Linked DNA regions of Struthio camelus. The protein of the gene in region 1 binds, or shares a complex with, the protein of each later gene. Links are inferred from orthologs where the notes say so. Each region holds a gene or a part of one and is shown in the gene's direction. Other genes may lie near its edges.

Evidence for each region.
Region 2: PPP4R4 (region 1) and PPP4R2 share a complex: the UniProt entries of both Homo sapiens proteins name them as parts of the PP4 complex. The link is inferred for Struthio camelus from reciprocal best matches to the Homo sapiens genes PPP4R4 and PPP4R2.
Region 3: PPP4R4 (region 1) and PPP4C share a complex: the UniProt entries of both Homo sapiens proteins name them as parts of the PP4 complex. The link is inferred for Struthio camelus from reciprocal best matches to the Homo sapiens genes PPP4R4 and PPP4C.

What each region holds. Positions count from the first base shown.
Region 1 is NC_090946.1:66,790,421-66,797,892, forward strand, and holds the start of PPP4R4 (serine/threonine-protein phosphatase 4 regulatory subunit 4), read left to right. Parts: upstream 1-4,468; 5' UTR 4,469-4,988; coding exon 4,989-5,105; intron 5,106-5,601; coding exon 5,602-5,675; intron 5,676-6,980; exon of another isoform or gene 6,981-7,056; intron 7,057-7,472. UniProt on the Homo sapiens protein: Putative regulatory subunit of serine/threonine-protein phosphatase 4.
Region 2 is NC_090955.1:5,358,762-5,366,339, reverse strand, and holds the start of PPP4R2 (serine/threonine-protein phosphatase 4 regulatory subunit 2), read left to right. Parts: upstream 1-4,567; 5' UTR 4,568-4,733; coding exon 4,734-4,767; intron 4,768-5,430; coding exon 5,431-5,512; intron 5,513-7,578. UniProt on the Homo sapiens protein: Regulatory subunit of serine/threonine-protein phosphatase 4 (PP4). May regulate the activity of PPP4C at centrosomal microtubule organizing centers.
Region 3 is NC_090973.1:990,547-998,069, forward strand, and holds the start of PPP4C (serine/threonine-protein phosphatase 4 catalytic subunit), read left to right. Parts: upstream 1-4,512; 5' UTR 4,513-4,565; intron 4,566-7,393; exon of another isoform or gene 7,394-7,401; 5' UTR 7,402-7,405; coding exon 7,406-7,503; intron 7,504-7,523. Other genes in the region: ALDOA (fructose-bisphosphate aldolase A), read left to right, coding at 1,653-1,748. UniProt on the Homo sapiens protein: Protein phosphatase that is involved in many processes such as microtubule organization at centrosomes, maturation of spliceosomal snRNPs, apoptosis, DNA repair, tumor necrosis factor (TNF)-alpha signaling, activation of c-Jun N-terminal kinase MAPK8, regulation of histone acetylation, DNA damage checkpoint signaling, NF-kappa-B activation and cell migration.

The sequences.
Region 1 (7,472 bases):
CAGATTGGGAGGACTTTGAGGACTGGAATAATGGGATGAAATTTACTCATACAAAGTGCAGGACCATTCAGTGAAGGCTAATACTGAGAATTTAGACTCTAAGACAGGAGTTAATTAGTTTTAGACGACTGTGGAAGAGAACGACCTCTTGTATCAATTGATCACAAGGTAACTGTGAGCTGCCAATGCAGTATATTTGGTAAGCTATCTCTTGAAGATATTCATTCTCCATAAAAGGCATTACTTCCCTGAAGCTGCTGTCTACAATACTATATAAAATTCTGGTCACCTTAATTCAAGACAGGTGAAGTCAAACTGCAGCAGGTGGGAAGAGGCCAATCAGGATGACCAGGAGAACTGAGAGCCTGTTTTATGAGAGAAGACTAAATGTTGAGCTTAGCTTGTTTAGCCCAGGATTAGAGGAGATATGATTGTGATCTTTAAATAGCAGGAAAGGAAGAATGCTTTAAAGTAAAGTACAATGCTGGTACATGAAGAAAGTAGGTAAACTGGCCAACAGTAATTTTAGGTAGAAAATCTGAAGTTTCTATAGCAACCAATGAGTAAAGAATACTGGAAGGCAAAAACTGGTTAGTTTTAATATCAGGTTTGTCTTGTTTATGACAGACTGCTCACTGTTGTCATAGCAAGGAACTGGAGTCATTGGCTACCTTTGTATTAGGAATAGAAACCGTGTGCTGGTCTTTGGCTCTGAGGCAAGCTGGCTTGACCGTGTTCACAGCAGTAAACTCCCTTAACCTCCCACACAGGGCACTCGTATCCTTGCTGCCTGCCGAGAATGGTCTGGGCTGGTGCTAACTCCTGACCTGAACGAAGGGACTGTTTGGGGGAATTCGTGCTGGCCTTGGGGACCGTTCTGGCAATGTAAGCAGTACGGAAGGCTGAGCTCCAGCCCCTGGGCCTAGGCCCAATATTGTTTAATTTATGTAATTGGTTCCAGAGATTTCTTCAGCTCCCTGCTCCTTTTTAAGGGTTGAAAAAATTCCCCGTAAAATATTGTCTAGACCTCTGTACTTACATACTGACGTCACTGAGATTTTTGCCATTGTCGATCTGCTTTCTAAAATGTAAATAAATACTGTTTTATGTGGATACTTCAAAAGTTAGTAAATCTGGGCAAAAGATGTGTATTTTTAAAAAATAGAAAAAAAATCACTTAAACTTCATAAAGCAATGTGCTATTAGATCCTACTCCGGATCAGATATTCACAAATAGCTAGAAGGTATGAGGAAAATAGCAATACATATTTACTCTGTTGTTATTTTGTCTTCCTGCATGTGTTATTAACTGCTTTTGGAGACAGGACAGCAGATTAGACATGGCAGGAGAGCTAGCTTTTCTTAGAAAGAATAGAGAATGCAGTCACCGTAATCTTATACATGTCATATTGCCTAAAAAAGGATATCTTTTGTGTACATATAAAATAACCTTAAAACCTTTTTGTTTCTTAGATCTTAATGGAGAGTATTAAGTTATAGGAAAGCATTGGGAGAACGGTTCACAGGTGATGAAAGCACAATGAGTACAATCCTGTGTTTTTCCATATACCCTTTTTAATTATATAGCTGTTACAATCAGTTGACAGAAGTGGCAAAAGAGCAATCAGAAATTTTTTGCAAATGACACTAGGACAATGCAGCAACAGTTTCTTAGCAACAAACTGGAAAATATGCTAAATAATGTTTTTATCTGACTGAGATTTGTATATACTACGTTTCAAGAATTGTTCCAAAGTAGACAGATTTTTCTGTGTGGTTCTTTTAGACTAATGTACTTACAGGTTTGCCTCCACTTGGAGTTTTGTTTGTTTTTGTTTGTTTGTTTGTTTTTTGAAGAGTAGCTTTTCGTGGACACATTCTTCCTTGGGGTAAGAATAAAATAAGAAATCTTGTTTTGGAATATCTTAATCCGAAAAATGTTTTTAACATTTATTAAATAAGCAGTAACAAAGCATTCACCTGTGAATCTAGACTTTTATATTCAAACAAGCTCTTGTCCATTTCGTTTTCTTGATGCTGTACTTCCACATCAGGAACTTTATCTAGATTGTGAACTGAAAAACATATCTGAGTCATGTTTCCAGTGAAGTGAAAGTACTGTGGTCATTAATAGAAGGAGGAGATAGTGGTTTAAATATGAAGCCAGGAATTGAGGGGAGAAATGTAAGCTTAAGGCATTAGATGGAATATCAAAGCTGCATTTTTGAAGGGTTTGGTGGACTGCAGTAAAGAGCCATCTTGGTGGTGAACAGACTGAAATGAAATTTCTGCACACTCAATTTAGGTGCTGAGTCCTGGCAGAACTGTGATTATGCAGTGCATGAATTACATAGTGTACAGCTGGAGAAGGCATGTCCTTCTGTATCTTCCACACTAGGTCTTTCATATCGCAACTGATTTAGGCATTGCAACACATTCTGAGACTTGCTAAATTTTCAACTTCTCTGTGAATAATCTGATTTATAGGTTAATTCTCTGGGAACGTATAACAGGTAAAGTAAGAATCACAAGCTTTTCAGAGCAATTTTGAAAATGGAGACACCTAACTGCTGGGTAACAAAGCTCTAACTGCAAAGGTTAAAAAAAAGAAGGTGAAGAGTGGAAATGAGTCTTCATTGTAGAGTCACTGCCAAGTATGTCAAAAGATTTTTTTTTAACTTGGGATTAATTTAAAAGCATTCATCAGGGGAGGTACCTGCTTTGGACTTTTCATTAAAATCAGAAAGGCTTATAAAACAGAAGATTTCTTGTGAGTAATTCCGTTTTGCAAGAGTCCTGGTAGTGGACTAGGACACAGTGAAGGTGTCCTAGCACACCTGACCCAGAAGGGAGGGGACACTACTCAAGGCAAGGGTGTTGCAGCAGGGGAAGTGGAGCAATGTGGAGGCTGTGGCAGTGGAAGGGCAGCTCCACAGGGGCCGTGGCAGTGGAAGGGGATCCCTGTGGCAGCCGTGGCAGTGGAAGGAGATCCCTGTGAAGGCCGTGGCGGTGCAAGGGCAGCTCCACAGGGGCCGTGGCAGTGGAAGGGGATCCCTGTGGCAGCCGTGGCAGTGGAAGGGCAGCTCCACAGGGGCCGTGGCAGTGGATCCCTGCGGCAGCCATGGCAGTGGAAGGGCAGCTCCACAGGGGCCGTGGCAGTGGAAGGGGATCCCTGCGGCAGCCGTGGCAGTGGAAGGGCAGCTCCACAGGGGCCGTGGCAGTGGATCCCTGCAGCAGCCGTGGCAGTGGAAGGGCAGCTCCACAGGGGCCGTGGCAGTGGATCCCTGCAGCAGCCGTGGCAGTGGAAGGGCAGCTCCACAGGGGCCGTGGCAGTGGAAGGGGATCCCTGCGGCAGCCGTGGCAGGGGAAGGGCAGCTCCACAGGGGCCGTGGCAGTGGAAGGGGATCCCTGTGGAGGCCGTGGCAGTGGAAGGGCAGCTCCACAGGGGCCGTGGCAGTGGATCCCTGCAGCAGCCATGGCAGTGGAAGGGCAGCTCCACAGGGGCCGTGGCAGTGGAAGGGGATCCCTGTGGAGGCCGTGGCAGGGGAAGGGCAGCTCCACAGGGGCCGTGGCAGTGGAAGGGGATCCCTGTGGAGGCCGTGGCAGTGGAAGGGCAGCTCCACAGGGGCCGTGGCAGTGGATCCCTGCAGCAGCCATGGCAGTGGAAGGGCAGCTCCACAGGGGCCGTGGCAGTGGAAGGGCAGCTCCACAGGGGCTGTGGCAGTGGAAGGGGAGACCCCTCCACTGTGTGTGGCGGTGGAAGGGGAAGCAGTGGAGCGGGGCCGGCTGCGCCGGGCGAGGCCCCGGCAGTAGGACGCATCCCCCGGCGGGTGGCGGGGGTGGGGGGGTTGGGCTGTGCCGGGAGCCCGGACGGGGGTCGTACACGCGGGAGCGGATCCCCGCACAGAAGGGCCTGCGGGCAGAGGTGACGGCGCAGAGCGCCCTGGCGCGTGTCCGACCCCACGCCCGTGTGCGTCCCCGCGCGGCGCGGCACAGCAGGCAGAAGGGCGGCGGGAGGCGACGGCGGCGCGAGACGGTTAACGGCCGGGGGGGGGAGGGGGGAAGGGGGGCGTGCCCCGGCCCTCGCGAGGAGCGGCCGCGCCCGCGCCCCCAGCGCGTTCGGCTATTACCGCGCTCGGGAAGCTCTTTTGCCCCGCCGAGGCCGCTGTAGCGCCGCGTTGCCCCGGCGACCGGCTCGGCGGTGGCAGGGCGGCCCCAGTGGCGGCGGCTGGGAGGCGGCTCCGCGGGGCTGGCGTCGCGCGGGGGGCGCTGAGGCGCCGGAGCCGGGGGCCGTCCCGGCGCGGACGCCGCGGCAGTCGCTCCCTGCCGTCGTCGGCGGCGGCGGGGTGGGGGGGACAGCTGCGCTGAAGGAGTGGGCCGGGGCCGGGGCCGGGGGAGGGGAGCGACACTGCACCACGGCGGCCGTCCCTCCCCCCGGGGCGGGGAGGGCAGGGGCGGCCCCCCGGGAGGCTGCTGGGCCGGGGCGCTGCGCGGCCGGCCGGGGCTGCTCCTTCAGCCGGTGCCTTCAGTGAGGAGAGCGGGGCGAGCCTGTCGCCCGCAGCCTGCGCTGGAGGAAGGGACTCGGCTGTCTGCTGCCCCCCGCCTTGCCTTCCCCGCGGGCCCTGAAGCGGCCTGGCCCCTCGCCCCCCTCGGCGAACACGGGCAGTCCGCGACGAGAGGAAAGTTGGCTCCAAACTCTCCCTCCGCTTCCTCGCCCCGGGATAACAGCGAGCCGCTGCCTGCCCGCCCCCGGGGGGAGCGGAGCGGAGCGGCCGGAGAAAGTTTGGCGGCGGGGGGCTGTGGCGGAGGCGGGCGGCAGCGGTGCCGCAGTGTGTGCGCTGAGGCGGCGGGGCTCGGCGGCTGCCGGCGGCGGGAGGCAGGCGCTGCTCGCAGACTTGGAGGGGGTGTTGCGTGGTGTCAGTCGTTTCTCCTCCAGTGCGATGTGAGACTCGGAGAGAGCATCGGTTGCCAAAGGCTCTGGTTGTTACATGCATCCAATAATCTTCTTCTCCAAAATGGATTTTACTCAGAGCAATTTATTTGGATACATAGAAGACCTGCAGGAGCTAACTATTATAGAAAGGCCAGTACGCAGGAGCCTGAAGGTATCTACTTCAAAATTGAATGATGCTTTAAAATCCATTTGAAATTTTTGCTGCTTGTATTTATGCACTGCCAGCTGACCAGGCAGTTTATTTTTACAGCACCAGAACATTAAAGCTTGTTTTCAGTTATGCTGGAATATACAATCTTGACTTCAGTATAGCCAGGAGTTAATATTTTCAGTGTAAGGGTGTTAAGCTGGAAAAAATGGACTAACATAAGCCTTTAATTTATATGTGACGTGTTTATGCTGTGTTTTAAATGATTAATAATGAGAGTATCTGACATGAAACTGTACTTTTATTATATCCCATCTCTTCCTGGTGAAAGATTTATTTGACTGAATTTGAAATAATTGGCTAGAGATTTCAGGGGTTAAATTCAAATTACTCATGTAACTATCCTTGAACATGGGGAGGAAGGGTTTGTTTTAAGAAGACTAAAACAAAGAAATAGTATGGCATTGTAAATTCATAATCTCTATTTCACACTTGACAGACACCAGAAGAAATAGAAAGATTGACAGTTGATGAAGAACTCAATGATATTGAAAGGGCTGTTTATCTACTCAGGTATTTCCTAAAGTATTATTGTGAAACACTGCTGACCATCATGTTGACATACAGTTTTTTGTGCTCTTTCTCCTTAGTCCTTTTATTTTCTATCTTTACATAGTAGTTGTTTTATACTTTTGGCTACATTAGGTATATAGGCAAGATTAAAATAGACACTGTCATTTTGTTAAACTTGGATGGAATAGGATGCCTGTGTGGACGTACGGATATTTCTTTGCCGAGTTTCTAATATGGCCCTCAGCAATAATGAGTTGTACTTCGTCTTCTTTTTCTCTGCAATTGGTTTTGCAAGATTCCCTGAGTCAAGTTGACATTAATAAGAGCAATCATTCGGTGACTTCATAGTCACTCTAGGGCATGGGCAGTTACCACGGACTGATAGCAGAGCTGTCTGAACATATTGTATACGTTTGCGCTATCAGAAGAGAAGACTTAAAGATTAGTTTCATAGTCTTTAGGAAATACTGCAGAATACATTATTTTAATATTAATCAATGTTCTGTTTTTTCATTTTATCTTCCTCTTTAAAGTACTTGAATAGCTTAAATTTTGATGGATTCAAACACAAATCTCTTTCAACTCTGCTGCAAAAGTAATCTCTGAGAGTAGGAATGTTCTGAGGCATTTTGATTTGAATATGCGTTTTAAACAATACTTAGTAATTGGAGAACCAGCTGCAGCTCCTTCGCAGTTTGCTTATTCTGCTATTTTAAGTGCTCTTACAGCCTATGCCTGTCCTCAATTTAAAAATATATTTTTTCAATGCCTTAATTTTCTCTTTTTGGGTATGTGGTGTTACTTTTAGGTAAACATTTTTGTCCACTAGTAGTATTTTGATACTGAATTTTTTGTGTTTTTTCATGCTAATTTTTTTTCTTCATTAAGTAATGGAGTTTAAAACTTCCGCTACTGCGGATAGATACTACAGATAGTAATCAAAGTAGTCTTTTGGCTCTAGGGTAATCTAGAGAAACCAATGTCGTTGCATATCATTTTAGGTTTTTTTATCTCACAGCGATCAGCATGGTCATCTTTTTTTTTTTCTCCTTCATGTGAAGCAGCAGATCTCTTGCTCCTTTCCTGATTAAAGATAGTGTTTCCAACAATAGGTCGTTACTGCATCATTGCGTGGTTAAAGGGTAAAAGGTTTGACTTCATATTTTTTATCTTACTAATTACTTTTCAACTTGGCCTTGAACTCTTCTTGACATCCTCGTCTACTTTCTCTCTACCTGAACAGCTGTTCTGGGGGACATAATATTCACTTCCTTGTGATGAAGTTTTTATTTTGCTTCTTTGTAGTCCTCATTGCTGAAAGGTAGCTTCATCTCTGCTTGAAAAGCTTTTTGCAAGGCAATTATTTGCTGTGATTATCCAGGTATGTTTATACATTAATCCAGTGGAAGCTTTTGCTGTTCAGTAGTGCATTGCCTTGCTTGCACTGAGTGGAGTGTAAGCAAACAGAGCTGAAAAGCTGTCTGTAACACAAGTAGTATCCTTTATACAATGCGTAAAAGCATATATCATTGTCTTTTCCAGTATTTTTATGAATTAGAATACAACACACCTACTTTTTCCTGTTTGATGGTAATGTCATGGTCTTTTCATGCCTCGTTTTCTCCCACAGGAGAAAGGCATTACTTGCCTTCTTTCAACTTGTCCCTTATGTGGAACTCTCCTTGACGTTATCCCATATGACACTACCTTTTCTGAATATCCCACTATAAAATTTGCTTTAGTGAAATTGAAATGAATCGTCAATGATGGCTGTGTTCTGTTCAATTTCGAGATGGT
Region 2 (7,578 bases), on another chromosome or scaffold:
TGGAAGGAATCAGACAAGCTGCTAACAATGAAAAGTCAATGTTAGTATATGGTTTGTTTACTTGTGAATTCTACCGCATTTTGAAATAAAGATCTTCCTGCAATGCCATTCCCAGTGTATCACTGTAGTAATTTATTTAATATACTACAAATGTGATAAGTGCTACACTTCAAAAGATGTAAGTCCACTTTTCTCAAACTAGGAAATAAAAGGATTGGAAGGAAATGAGAGGTGGTCTTCCTCTACCAGCTAAATCCTGCAGAAATTATGATATTAACTTACACCTTGTTTCTAGAAACAAGATCTGAGCATCTGTGGCTCCTAATGGCATTACCTATCCTCAGAGCAGCATCCGTGTTACAGAGCAGTGCCAATTAGATTTATAACTTGCAAATAACAAAGGTACAAAAGGTAATAGGGCTCCAAGCGTACCTACCACATGATACAGCTGTAGACTCAAACCTCACTTGCTACTTTCTGAGTGCAAAGAAGTGGCTCTAAAGTACTTAATTAAAAGGTTATATGAGTGTGTTATGTTCTATTACAAGCTGTTGAATTAGTTCTATATTTCTGTACAGAATGTAGTAGAGGAATTTAGAAAAAAACATATTCCTTTTTATTCCCTGCAACTAGCTTTTTAACTGAAGAAATGCTATGTTGTCCCAGTTTTCAATATTAATTCTAGGTGTCTTGGGAACGCTTTTAATTTTTTTTCTGTTTTAGCAGAACAGGCTAGCAGCACAGCTTTTCAAATTGACGGTAATTATGGTCTTTATTGTGTTCTTGGTGATACCTCCAAATGGAATGGGATGTTGTTTAGGAAGATTGAATTTGCTCTCATAGGGGTTTTTAAGTGGGTTGTCTAACTGTACTAGACTTTAAAATGTATGTTTATGCCTCTTCTAGGCTTGTTTTGGCTGTTGGGATTCTTTAACAGCAGTCATGCTGGGAAATGCAGTTCCTCAGGAAGAGCTGAAAATTGAGGGCATGTGACCACCTTTGAGAATTATTATAAAGAACAAGCTGTGCTGTGGATGAGAGCCGATATGGTATCTGGGGGTAAATGTAGTCTGCTAGGATATAGACATGATTTAAGAGAACCTGTGCCCTATGTTCTCCACTGTTCTGTTTTGCTGAAGGTTAAAAAGGTAAGCTAGTTTTTTGTTACTTTAACTGGACTTTTATACCTCTTTTGTAATAATAAAGTGGATCCCAAGGAAAAGAACATAGGCTAACCTGTAATCTGAATTGTATGTTCCTTTTCTATTGCCAGTGCATCTGCTTACAGGCCTCAGCACTTCTGTTTTCATTTCCATATCCACTGTTTGCTTTGAAACCTTCCCCTGTCCTCTGTCAAGTCTTTTCTCAATGCAGTTCCTTTCTTGTTGAAGAGATTTTTTCACTTGCTTGCCATGAGTACCCACTGATGTTTTGGGGGAGGACATTAATACCGTAGAGAGTAGATTATTGTCCAAGCAAACTAATTTAGTTTCGGTTTGTAGAGATTTCTAATCCTAGAAGGGTAAACATACTACAGAGGGCATGAGATGGGGAAAGTCATGGTAGCAGAGCTGCAAGGGCAGGAGAGCTACTAATACAAATTGTTAACAGTGCCCTTGGCTAACTTCAGAGAAAACAATTCAGTATTCATTTCTCTTAAGAATATATGCCTTAGCTCTGCTGTTACTCATTCTTTCAGCATGTTTTTATGATGAACAAAGTGATCAGAAGAAAATGGTAGCTAAATTCATTAAGGTTTTATTAATTCCACCTCATGCGCTGATTTTTTTTTCCCCCACGGGTTGGGGCAAGTCCTGTCTTTGTCTCTGTGGTTCTTTGTGTGCTTAATAGGGCTAGTGATGCTGGCCCGAGGCAAGGGAATCCCTAACGCAAGAGAAATGTACAAGAAGGTAAAAGTGCCAAGTCCTAAGTATTGTTGGGATTTTTCATGTCCAGTAGGGAATGTGATTTTCCTTTATAAAAAGCTGAGAATTGATCCATGGCACAAAATAGACGATGCCTTTGTAAAGCATTTAGAAGTAGCAGCACTTGGAGCTAGACTTTCAACAACTTTCAGCTATTCATACTTAGTCAGAGAGAGCCCCAAAGTATTAAATCTGAAGTACCTCTATCTGCTCTAAACTATTTTTGAAGTTTATGAGAGACACTTTCCCTAAACTCCCTGTCATAGCATAGCACAAGCTTCAGTCACCTTGAGCTCAGTTTCTACCTCCCTTATTTTGTATTGGACCTGATCTGCAACAGTTTAATCTCTTAAAATGGCATCCTATAACAAATTGTCTCAACAGTCTTAAGTGCCACTCTTCCTCTTTTATTAGGAGATGAGAGCAAGGCATGGTGCATGTTTGGCCCTGACAGGTACCTTAAACAGCAGGGCCCGTCCCATGTGGTTGGCTTGGTCGACTGCTGCTTCCCTTTTTCCCTTCACCTTTTGATCAGATGAAGGGAGAGGGGACCACAGAGGTTCATTCACTGCCCTCTCTACTCAGCATTTCTGTGCCCTATTGCAGCTTTTACAAAGATTTGTTGTTAAGGAAGGTTTTTCACAGAACAGTATAGAACAAGGGATTTGTACTGCTCATCTGTAAATATGAAACCTTAGATATTCCTGTTAGTATTGTATAGTTCTAAGGTCAGAGACCCTGAGGGTCATCTAGAAGGTCTAGACCATACAGGTCTTGATTCCAGAAGCCAGATGAAAGTTAGGGTTCCTATATGATGAAAATGCCAACACAGACTGTTAATTCCACAGCCTGGATATTCCTACATGATACAATCAACACAAGGAACCAGAGAAAATATCTTTCAGCAAGGATGTGCTTGCCATAGGTACCAAGGTTGTCTTTTAGCCATTTATGGTGGTCCTCAAACCTGATCATTCAGCTATGATGTTAGCAGCAGTTGTAAGAAACGGAGCTGTATCAGAGGTTCTCTGGTACGTTATCGACCTGGGAGAGCAGAAAAGTCAGTTCAGCCACAGGCATTATTATCTTTTTAGGGACTGCTCTGAAACGGTACGATAGATCCGGGACTCACAGGGCAGGCCAAGAGTGGTGGGGACGGGACCTGCTTCGCCGTGCGCGGGGCAGGAGGGCCGTCAGCATGCGCATGAGGCCTCCAGAGGCGCCTGGGCCACCCTCCAGGTCTATATCAGGATTGTACCTAATAGTAAATTACAGCAGATGCGCCGGCTCACACATGCCTAGAGTAACAGTTGGCATCGATATTTGGCTACCTTTTTCACAACATCTCTCTCTCTCTCTTTTTTTTTTTTAACAAGCATTTCCATTTTTTTTTGCAGAAGTGTCCACAGCAGGCGAGTCCATATGCCAATGGCTGGCTAAAACCAGCCGACAGGCGTCTCCCCCTCGCCCGGACCCCGGCCACCGCCGCTTCAGCCTGGACTCTGCCCCGATCCCCTCCTTGCTCATTCGGAGCCTTTTCCAGAAGGAGCGACTGCCTGGCCTTCACCACCACGTTTTTAGGGACCTTTTCCAGAAGGGACCAAGTGCCTGGGCTTCACCACGTTTTTAGGGACCTTCTCCAGAAGGGACTGACTGCTCGGCCTTCACCACCGTGTTTTTAGGGACCTTCTCCACAAGGGACCGACTGTCTGGCCTTCACCACCACATTTTTAGGGACCTTTTCCAGAAGGGACCGAGTGCCTGGCCTTCACCACCACGTTTTTAGGGACCTTTTCCAGAAGGGACTGAGTGCCTGGCCTTCACCACCACGTTTTTAGGGACCTTTTCCAGAAGGGACTGAGTGCCTGGCCTTCACCACCACGTTTTTAGGGACCTTTTCCAGAAGGGACTGAGTGTCCGGCCTTCACCACCGTGTTTTTAGGGACCATCTCCAGAAGGGAGCGACTGCCTGGCCTTCACCACCACGTTTTTAGGGACCTTTTCCAGAAGGGACTGACTGCTCGGGCTTCACCACCGTGTTTTTAGGGACCATCTCCAGAAGGGAGCGACTGCCTGGCCTTCACCACCGCGTTTTTAGGGACCATCTCCAGAAGGGAGCGACTGCCTGGCCTTCACCACCGCGTTTTTAGGGACCTTTTCCAGAAGGGAGTGACTGCCTGGCCTTCACCACCACTTTTTTAGGGACCTTTTCCAGAAGGGACCGAGTGCCTGGGCTTCACCACGTTTTTAGGGACCTTCTCCAGAAGGGACTGAGTGCCTGGCCTTCACCACTGTGTTTTTAGAGACCTTCTCCAGAAGGGACCGACTGCCCCGACTTCTCCACCACGTTTTTAGGTGTGGTGAGAAGAAGGGAGCGTCCTACGCGGTCAGTACTGGGGGCGGGGAGGAGCCGCCTGGTTAGGAGGCGCCTCTCGTGTCGCGGCTGTGCGTGGGCAGAGGCGGGAGGGCGGGAGCCGCCTCGAGCAGGACAGCAGCGCGGCAGGGCCACCCCCGCCCCGCCTGAGGCGGCCGCAACCGCCGCCCCTCCACTCCGCCCCGCCCCGCCCCGCGCGCGGCGGCGGCCCCGCCCCCCGCGCGCCACCGCCGCCCCGCCCCGCCCCCCCGGCGGGAGAGGGGGAGGGCCGTCGGGGCCGCGCACGGGGACGGCCCGGGCGCCATGTTGGAGGGTTGCTGAGCCCCGCGTCTGTCTGTCTGTCTGTGTGTGTGTCTGTGTGTGCGCGGCGGCCGGAGCCCGTGTGCTGCGCGGGCTGGGGAGGGGGGGGGCGCGGGGGGACGCCCGGGCGGATCATGGACGTCGAGCGGCTGCAGGAGGCTCTGAAAGGTGGCGCCGGGCGGGGGAAAGCGGCGGTGGCGGGGGGGGGGGGGGAGCTGTGTCCCCTCACGCTGAGGCGGGCGCGGGGGGGGGTCTCTGTGGGGGCGGTGGGGGAGGGGGAAGCCGAGGCCTGGCCCCAGCGCCCCGACAGCCACCGGGGGGGTTGGGGGGGGGTGGCGGCCGCCGGTCCCTCCGCTCCGGCCCCGGGCCGTCCTCGCCGCTGCCCCCGGGCCGGGGCCGGGGTCGGGGCCGGCCTGCGCTGCCGCTTCCCTCGGCCAGGCGCACGGACTCCCCCCCCGGCCCGGTCCTGTGGCAGCTCGTCTGGCTGGACGCAGCCTGAGGAAATCGGCCTCTCTCGCTCTCTCTTTCTCTCTCTCTCCACCCTCCCCCCCCCCGGTAGCTGCTCAAAAGAAGTTACAAATCAACTTTTTGCCCCTGGGATGTGTGTAGTTTTCTTCACACGAGAAGTATCAAGTGTTTTGCAGGGTTGGAGGGCTGGGGGAGCTCTTGGGAACAAACTGAGGAAGTGTGGAAATGTCTTTTTTTGGGGGGGTGGGGGGAAGGGGGGAGCTGTGCGGATAGTTGAAGCAAATCGATGCCTAATTGTTACGAATTTTTGTCCTGTCCTCTCTTCTTTTCCTATTGCTTTCGTGTTCTTCCTCGTACCAACAGATTTTGAGAAGAGAGGAAAGAAGGAAGTGTGTCCAATACTGGATCAGTTTCTTTGTCATGTTGCTAAGACCGGAGAGACCATGTAAGTGTGTGACTTCTTGGTTGATCTTCAGTTGTAGCTTATAAAGTTTCCCACGTTTTAAGTGAATGAGATGATACCTTTTTTTTTTTTTTTTTTTTGGATCTGTAGAATGATTCCATGAGCTAAATAAGCTTGCTGTAGTTCTCAGTGTAACTTTGAATGATTAGTTTCATTTGAGGATAGAATTAGTTTTTTTCTAACAGAGAGCACAGATAGCTTTTTTTTTTTGTATAGACTTTGCTCAGGCTTATCTCTCAGGTTTTATTGATGCTGCTCCATACAGTAAACCTGTTGCTTTTTCTGCGTTTTACGTGACATTCAGGTTTTTTAAACTGAAAGTTTAGCGCGTTGTTGCAATGTCCGTTGTACGCAGTAGTATTGTTTACACAGGGATACGAATGGTTCAGATCAAATTTTCCAGGCTTTGTGTAACTTGCTGTGCGATGATTGCGTCTAGATGCTTTCCAGGAGGAGGGGAGAACCACCCAGGAGCTCTCTGCAGAGAGGCGCAGGGGCAAACTTGTTACCCTGCCTTTCAGTGGTCTCTCGTGTTTTTTCAGCTGGCCCCAAAGTGCTTCTGTTTCACTTTTCCTGGGCTTCCTTTTGTGGAGGGCCAGTGGGATTTGGGCCCGCGGGCGCTGTGGGGAGCGGGGTTACCGCGCTCCTTGTCAAGGATGAGGCCGGTGCTGCTGGGGGTGACTTCCTGCTTGAGCACTATTTGGCAGGAAGGGGAAAGGCTTCCATGGGTGCCATGCTGCAGGTGGCTCACTTTCTGGCACTCAGGCTGTCTCCTTGTTTTTGAGGCCTAGCGCCAGACTACACAGGCTTTAGCGATACATGCTTTTACCGGTGCTTTATTAGCAACTAGTGATTTGCAGGGGCTTTGTTCTGATTTCTAGAATCCCTCTCACTCGTAAGAGGTGTCTTTACCTTTTTCTTTTTTTTTTTTAATAGCTTGCTAGTACTATTTAAATTAATAGTTTTGAAAGAAAAACAAGTTCTGAAATGTACTTTGCCCTTTGAATGGAAGGCTTTGGCTCAGCAGAAAAATATACAGCTGTAATGCTTAATATTCTAGAATAACACTCATTTTAGTATGGGCCTAAGGTAGTGGTTTTGTTTGTGTAGTGTGTTTAAAATATTCTTCCTGTTCTGAAATGTTTCTTAAGGCTTTTTTTTCTTGTTTATGCCACTGTTACATATATTCCAAAGCAATTTTTAAAAGCAATTGTATAGGGGTGATTTCTTAAGAAAATTCTTCCTGAGGTAAAACTTGAGAGTATAGTTATTATATGTTCTGAATTTAAAAAAAAAAAAATCTAGATTTTCCAAATGTAAACAAGAACAAGAGTTTATTTGATTATTGCAAACTATTGCTTAATCCGGAACTCAAATCTATCATCTGGAACTTCATGCAGGCCCTGGCCTTGTATGTATTCAGGGTTTTTTTTTTTTTTTTTTAAAGCTCTATAGCTTTTTTCAACATTCTTGGACCTTGCAGTTGCACTAAATTGTTTTTTTAAAAGTGTCAGACACACTTCAGACATCCGAAGTATCCAATATCATCTGGAGACAGACATGGAAATACTGCTCAGTACCACTTTATTTGCTTCCCGTTATCCATCAGAGTCTATATTTCTTCATCTGATATAGTGATATTTTCATTAATATGTTATATATAAAAATATCAGGAGGAAATTGATAGCAAAATGTCCTGGTGGGCATTCATAACAGGGAATATGTATTTATAAGAATTTAATGTATGTTTTTAGAATACAGGCTAGACTACTGTAACACTGATATTTTAAAAGTGTACCTGAGTACACAAACTTGTCAGATGCGTGTTGATTCACACTGAGCTAAACGTTCTTTATTTCCTTTCATGTAAAAAAACCTTTTACTTAAAAGAAATCCAGAACAGTAAGACATAGATTTCATCCTCTAGTTCCAAGACAATCCAAAATAATAGTTTGCAGTGACATTTATTAGTATTTTTATGAATTTCAGGTTTCAGTTTGAAAAACTGGATGGTTAAGTCAGGAGTAATTACACAAATGGTTTGCAGA
Region 3 (7,523 bases), on another chromosome or scaffold:
GGTCGTGGTGGGACGTGGGGACGGAGGTCCTGGTGGGAGGTGGGGACGGGGGTGCTGGTGGGACGTGGGGACATTGGGACAGGGGTCGTGGTGGGGCATGAGGACATGGGGACGGGGGTGCTGGTGGAACGTGAGGACGTGGGTGCTGGTGGGACATGGTGACATGGGGATGTGCGTCGTGGTGGGACGTGAGGACATGGGGATGTGGATTGTGGTGGGACGTGGGGACGGGGGTGCTGGTGGGACGTGGGGACGGGGGTGCTGGTGGGACGTGGGGACATGGAGATGGAGGTCCTGGTGGGACGTGGGGACGTGGGGATGGGGGTCGTGGTGGGACGTGGGGACATGGAGATGGAGGTCCTGGTGGGACGTGGTGACGTGGTGACGGGGGTCATGGTGGGACATGAGGACGTGGAGACGGAGGTCCTGGTGGGACGTGGGGACGGGGGTCGTGGTGGGACATGAGGACGTGGAGATGGAGGTCCTGGTGGGAGGTGGGGACGGGGGTCATGGTGGGACATGAGGACGTGGAGATGGAGGTCCTGGTGGGAGGTGGGGACGGGGGTCGTGGTGGGACATGAGGACGTGGAGATGGAGGTCCTGGTGGGAGGTGGGGACGTGGAGATGGAGGTCCTGGTGGGATGTGGGGACGTGGTGACGGGGGTCGTGGTGGGACATGAGGACGTGGAGATGAAGGTCCTGGTGGGACGTGGGGACGTGGAGATGGAGGTCCTGGTGGGACGTGGTGACGTGGTGATGGGGGTTGTGGTGGGACATGAGAACATGGAGATGGAGGTCCTGGTGGGAGGTGGTGACGGGGGTCGTGGTGGGACATGAGGACATGGAGATGGAGGTCCTGGTGGGACGTGGGGACGTGGAGATGGAGGTCCTGGTGGGACGTGGTGACGGGGGTCATGGTGGGACATGAGGACGTGGAGACGGAGGTCCTGGTGGGACGGGGGGACGGGGGTCGTGGTGGGACATGAGGACGTGGAGATGGAGGTCCTGGTGGGACGTGGGGACGGGGGTCGTGGTGGGACACGAGGACGTGGAGATGGAGGTCCTGGTGGGACGTGGGGACGGGGGTTGTGGTGGGACGTGGGGGCATGGAGATGAAGGTCCTGGTGGGACATAAGGACATGGGGACGTGGGTCGTGGTGGGACATGGGGACATGGGGACGTGGTGACGGGGGTCGTGGTGGGACATGAGGACGTGGAGATGAAGGTCCTGGTGGGACATGAGAACATGGGGACGTGGGTCGTGGTGGGACATGGGGATGTGGGTCCTGGTGGGACATGGGGACATGGGGACGGGGGTCGTGGTGGGACACGAGGACGTGGAGATGGAGGTCCTGGTGGGACGTGGTGATGTGGTGATGGGGGTTGTGGTGGGACATGAGAACGTGGAGATGGAGGTCCTGGTGGGACGTGGTGACGTGGTGATGGGGGTTGTGGTGGGACGTGAGGACGTGGAGATGGAGGTCCTGGTGGGACGTGGTGACGTGGTGATGGGGGTTGTGGTGGGACATGAGAACGTGGAGATGGAGGTCCTGGTGGGACGTGGTGACATGGGGACGGGGGTCCTGGTGGGACGGGGGGACGGGGGGAGCGCGGGCGTCCGCGGCGTGACGCGCGGCTCCCTGCGCCCGCAGGCCAACTCGCTGGCGTGCCAGGGCAAGTACGCGCCCAGCGGGCCGGCGGGGGCCGCCGCCAGCGAGTCCCTCTTCATCTCCAACCACGCCTACTGAGGGGCCCCGGCGTCCGGGGCCGCCCCGCCCCCCCCCCGCCGCCGCCGCCTCTCCCGCTCCGGCAATAAACGGCATCTGCCTCCGCACCCGCGTCTTGGGGGGCCCGGGCGGCCGGGGGAGGGGACCCAGGTGTCCGGGGAGGGGCCCAGGTGTCCGGGGAGGGGCCCAGGTGTCCGGGAGGGGCCCAGGTGTCCCGGAGGGAACCAAGCGTCTGTAATGGGCCCAGGTGTCCGGGGAGCGGCCCAGGCGTCCTGGAGGGACCCAGGTGTCCAGGAAGGGGCCCAGGCGTCCTGGAGGGACCCAGGTGTCCAGGGAGGGGGCCCAGGAGTCCAGGGAGGGGCCCAGGCATCCGGGGAGGGACCCAGGTGTCCAGGGAGGGGCCCTGGCGTCCGGGAGGGAACCAAGTGTCTGTAATGGGCCCAGCTGTCCGGGGAGGGACCCAGCTGTCCGGGGAGGGACCCAGGCGTCTGAGAGGGGCCCAGGCATCCGGGAAGGGCCCAGGTGTCCTGGAAGGACCCAGGCGTCTGGGGAGGGGGCCCAGGAGTCCAGGGAAGGGCAGAGATGTCCGGAGAGGGGCCCAGGCGTCCCGGAGGGAACCAAGCGTCTGTAATGGGCCCAGGCATCTGGGAGGGACCCAGGTGTCCGGGGGAGGGGCCCAGGCGTCTGGGAGGGGCCCAGGCGTCCTGGAGGGACCCAGGTGTCCAGGAAGGGGCCCAGGCGTCCTGGAGGGACCCAGGCGTCCTGGAGGGACCCAGGAGTCCAGGGAGGGGCCCAGGCATCCGGGGAGGGACCCAGGTGTCCAGGGAGGGGCCCTGGCGTCCCGGAGGGAACCAAGTGTCTGTAATGGGCCCAGGTGTCCGGGGGGACCCAGGTGTCCGGGGAGGGGCCCAGGTGTCCGGGGAGGGGCCCAGGCGTCTGAGAGGGGCCCAGGCGTCCGGGAAGGGCCCAGGTGTCCGGGGGAGGGGGCCCAGGCGTCCGGGGACGGGGGCCCAAGCGTCCGGGAAGGACCAGGGCATCCGGGGAGGGCCCAGGTGTCCGGGAGGGCCCAGGCGTCCGGGGAGGAGGCCCAGGAGTCTGGGAAGGACCAGGGCATCCGGGAAGGGGCCCAGGTGTCCCGGAGGGAAGCAAGCGTCTGTAATGGGCCCAGGTGTCCGGGGAAGGGGCCCAGGTGTCCGGGGAGGGGCCCAGGTGTCCGGGAGGGGCCCAGGTGTCCGGGAGGGAACCAAGCGTCTGTAATGGGCCCAGGTGTCCGGGGAGCGGCCCAGGCGTCCTGGAGGGACCCAGGTGTCCAGGAAGGGGCCCAGGCGTCCTGGAGGGACCCAGGTGTCCAGGGAGGGGGCCCAGGAGTCCAGGGAGGGGCCCAGGCATCCGGGGAGGGACCCAGGCATCCGGGGAGGGGCCCTGGCGTCCCGGAGGGAACCAAGTGTCTGTAATGGGCCCAGGTGTCCGGGGAGGGACCCAGCTGTCCGGGGAGGGGCCCAGGGGTCCGGGGAGGGGCCCAGGCATCCGGGGAGGGACCCAGGCGTCTGAGAGGGGCCCAGGCATCCGGGAAGGGCCCAGGTGTCCTGGAAGGACCCAGGCGTCTGGGGAGGGGGCCCAGGAGTCCGGGGAAGGGCAGAGATGTCCGGAGAGGGGCCCAGGCGTCCCAGAGGGAACCAAGCGTCTGTAATGGGCCCAGGTGTCCGGGGAGGGACCCAGGTGTCCGGGGAGGGGCCCAGGCGTCTGGGGAAGGGCCCAGGGAAGGGCCGAGGTGTCTGGGGAGGGACCTAGGTGTCTGGGAGGGGCCCTGGCATCCGGGAGGGACCCAGGCGGCTGGGAGGGCCCAGGCATCCGGGGAGGGGTCCAGGTGTCTGGGAGGGGCCCAGGCGTCCGGGAGGGGCCCAGGTGTCCGGGCAGGAAGGGGCCCAGGAGTCCAGGAGGGCCCAGGTGTTCGGGAGGGCCTAGGTGTCCAGGAAGGGGCCCAGGCGTCCGGGGAGGGACCGAGGTGTCTGGGGAGGGCCCAGGCATCCGGGGAGGGGCCCAGGCGTCCGGGAAGGACCCAGGTGTCCTGACAAGGACCCAGGAGTCCGGGGAGGGGCCCAGGTGTCCGGGAGGGGCCCAGGCGTCCGGGGGGACCCAGGTGTCCGGGGAGGGACCCAGGCATCTGGGGAGGGACCCAGGAGTTCGGGAGGGGCCCAGGCATCCGGGAGGGGCCCAGGAGTCCAGGGAAGGACCCAGGCATCTGGGAGGGACCCAGGTGTCTGGGAGGGGCCCAGGTGTCCAGGAGGGGCCCAGGCGTCCGGGAGGGGCCCAGGCATCCAGGGAGGGGCCCAGGCATCCAGGGAGGGGCCCAGGAGTCCAGGGAAGGACCCAGGTGTCCGGGAGGGGCCCAGGCATCTGGGAGGGACCCAGGTGTCCGGGAGGGGCCCAGGCATCTGGGAGGGACCCAGGCGTCCGGGGAGGGGCCCAGGCGTCCGGGGAGGGGCCCAGGAGTCCGGGAGGGGCCCAGGAGTCCGGGGAAGGACCCAGGTGTCCGGGAAGGACCCAGGAGTCCGGGAGGGACCCAGGAGTCCGGGGAAGGACCCAGGCGTCCGGGGAGGGGCCCAGGCGTCCGGGGAGGGGCCCAGGCGTCCGGGGAGGGGCCCAGGTGTCCTGGAGGGCCCAGGCGCCCTGGGGAAGGGCCCAGGCGTCCGGGGAGCCCCCGGCGAGCTCTCCCCGCCCACTGGCTCGCGCCCCGTGACGTCACGCCCTGCGGGGCGGCCCTCCCGCACGTCACTTCCGTCCCGCCGGTGGGCGGGGCCGGGGCCGGAAGTGACGCGCGGCGGCGGCGGCGGCCGGGTGCGACCCGCGGCGGGTTCGGGGGTCGCCGGGGGGGTTCGGGGGGGGCCGGTTGGGGGCCGGTTGGTTTTTGGGGGCGGCTGGGGGGTTCTAGGGGCGGTGTGGGGGGGTTGGGGGGGTAGTTGGGGTGTTGCGGGGGCGGTTTGGGGGGGGTTGGGGGCAGGTTGGGGGGTTTTGGGGGTGTTTTGGGGGTGTTTGGGGGCAGTTTGGGGGTTTTGGGGGTGTTTGGGGGCAGTTGGGGGGTAGTTGGGGTGTTGCGGGGGCGGTTTGGGGGGTTTTGGGTACAGGTGGAGGGGGTTGGGGGCGGTTTGGGGGTGTTTGGGGGCAGGTTGGGGGGTTTCGGGGGTGTTTGGGGGCAGTTGGGGGTTTGGGGGCAGTTTGGGGGGTAGTTGGGGGTAGTTGGGGTGTTGGGGCAGTTTGAGGGGGTTGGGGGCGGTTTCGGGGTGTTTGGGGACAGGTTGGGTGTTTTGGGGCAGTTCGGGGGTAGTTGGGGTGTTGGGGCGGTTAGGGGGGTTGTTTGGGGGCAGGTTGGGGGGTTTCGGGGGTGTTTGGGGGCAGTTTGGGGGTAGTTGGGGTGTTGCGGGGGCGGTTTGGGGGGTTTTGGGTACAGGTGGAGGGGGTTGGGGGCGGTTTGGGGGTGTTTGGGGGCAGGTTGGGGGGTTTTGGGGGTGTTTGGGGGCAGTTGGGGGGTTTTGGGGGTGTTTGGGTGCAGTTGGGGGTTTGGGGGCAGTTTGGGGGGCAGCTGGGGGTAGTTGGGGTGTTGTGGGGGCAGTTTGAGGGGGTTGGGGGTGGTTTCGGGGTGTTTGGGGACAGGTTGGGTGTTTTGGGGCAGTTCGGGGGTAGTTGGGGTGTTGGGGCGGTTTGGGGGGTTGTTTGGGGGCAGGTTGGGGGGTTTTGGGGGTCTTTGGGGGTAGTTGGGGTATTGGGGCAGTTTGAGGGGTTTTGGGGACAGTTTGAGGGGGTTGGGGGTGTTTGGGGGCAGGTTGGGGGTTTTGGGGGGCAGTTGGGGGTAGTTGGGGTGTTGTGGGGGTAGTTTGAGGGGGTTGGGAGCGGTTTGGGGACAGTTTGGAGGTTTTGGGGGTCTTTGGGGGCAGTTTGGGGGTAGTTGGGGTGTTGTGGGGGCAGTTTGAGGGGGTTAGGAGCAGTTTGGGGGTGTTTGGGGACAGGTTGGGGGTTTGGGGGTCTTTTGGGACAGTTTGGGGGCAGTTTGGGTTTTGGGGACAGTTTGAGGGGTTTGGGGGCAGGTTTGGGGTAGTTGGGGTGTTGTGGGGGCAGTTTGGGGGGTTTGGGGACAGTTTGGGGGGTGTTTGGGGGTGGTTTTGGGGGTCTTTGGGGGCAGTTGGGGTTTTGGGGCAGTTTGGGGGAGTTTGGGACATTTTGGAGGGTCTTTGGGGGCAGTTTGGGGGGCAGTTTGGGGGTAGATGGGGTGTTGGGACGGTTTGGGGGGGTTGGGGGTGGTTTTGGGGGTGTTGGAGGGTCTTTGGGGGTAGTTTGGAGGGTTTGGGGGCAGTTTGGGGGTAGTTGGGGTGTTGTGGGGGCAGTTTGGGGGCTTTGGTGACAGTTTGAGGGGGTGGGAGCAGTTTGGGGGGTGTTTGGGGGCGGTTTTGGGGGTCTTTGGAGGCGGTTGAGGTTTTGGGGCAGTTTGGGGGTTTTGGGACAGTTTGGGGGGGTTTGGAGGCTGTTGGCGTAGGTGACAGTTTGGGGGCAGTTTGGGGACAGCTGGGGGGATATTTGGGGGCAGTTTGAGGGATTTTGGGGGCCACTTGCGGTTTGGGGGCAGTTTGGGGCAGTTTGAGGGGTTTCGGGGGGCGGTTTGAGGGGTTTGGGGAGACTTGAAGGGATTCAGGGGCTGTTGGGGGAGTTTGGGGGAGCCGGAGGGATTTCGGGGGCAGTTGGGAGGGTTTTGGCTCCGTTGGCGAGGGGGGTGGGCAGGTTTGGGGGGGACGTTTTGGATTTGGGGGGCAATTGAGGGGATTTAGGGGACAGTTGGGGGGAGTTGGGGGGGCAATGGGGGCCCGTTGGGATGTTTTGCAGAGCGCTGGCGCGATTTGGGGTCAGGCTGGGGGTTTTTTTTGGGAGCGGTGGGGGGGGGTCACTTTGGGGGTCTTTAGGGGCACTTGGGGATTTTTGGGTCACTTTGGGGGTCGTCGGGGGGTCGGGGGGGCCGTTGGGGCCTTGGGGGGGGCATTTGGGGGTCGTCGGGGGGTTGGGGGGGCCGTTGGGGCCTTGGGGGGGCATTTGGGGGTCGTCGGGGGGTTGGGGGGGCCGTTGGGGCCTGGGGGGGCATTTGGGGGGTGCAAGCGGAGTTGGGGGGGTCTGGGGGCAATTGAAGGCAACGGAGGGGCAGTTCAGGGGGGGCTGGGGGGGGCTTTTGGGGGGGTGGAGGGCAACTGAGGGGTCCGGGGAGCGATTAGGGGCTCGGGGGGGGTAATTAGGGGCTGTTGGGGGCACTTGGGGGTGTCGGGGGCAGTTAGGGGCTTGAGGGGGGGCTGTTAGGGGCATTTGGGGGGCAATTGGGGGTGCTGGGGGGCAGTTAGGGCATTGGGGGGGCTATTGAGCAGGTAGGGAGTCGGGGGGCAATTAGGGGTGGGGGGCAACGAGGAGGGGGGCTGTGGTGTCCGGGGGGGGCAATTAGGGGTTGTGGGGGGGGTTAATTAGCCCTGATGGGGGGGGCAATTACCGTCCCCCCCCCAAGTGGCCATTTCACGTCACCTGGGATTGACGAGCCAGCACCGATGGGGGGGGGACGAGCCTAGCTGCCGTTGGGGAAAAGGGGGCAAAATTAAGTCATGGGGGTAATTAGGGGGGGCTAATTAACAGTTAATTAGGGGGGCAGGGCCATGGGGGAGCCGAGCGACCTGGACCGGCAGATCGAGCAGCTGCGGCGCTGCGAGCTCATCAAGGAGAGCGAGGTGAAGGCCCTCTGCGCCAAGGCCAGGTACCCCGGGGGGGGGGGCA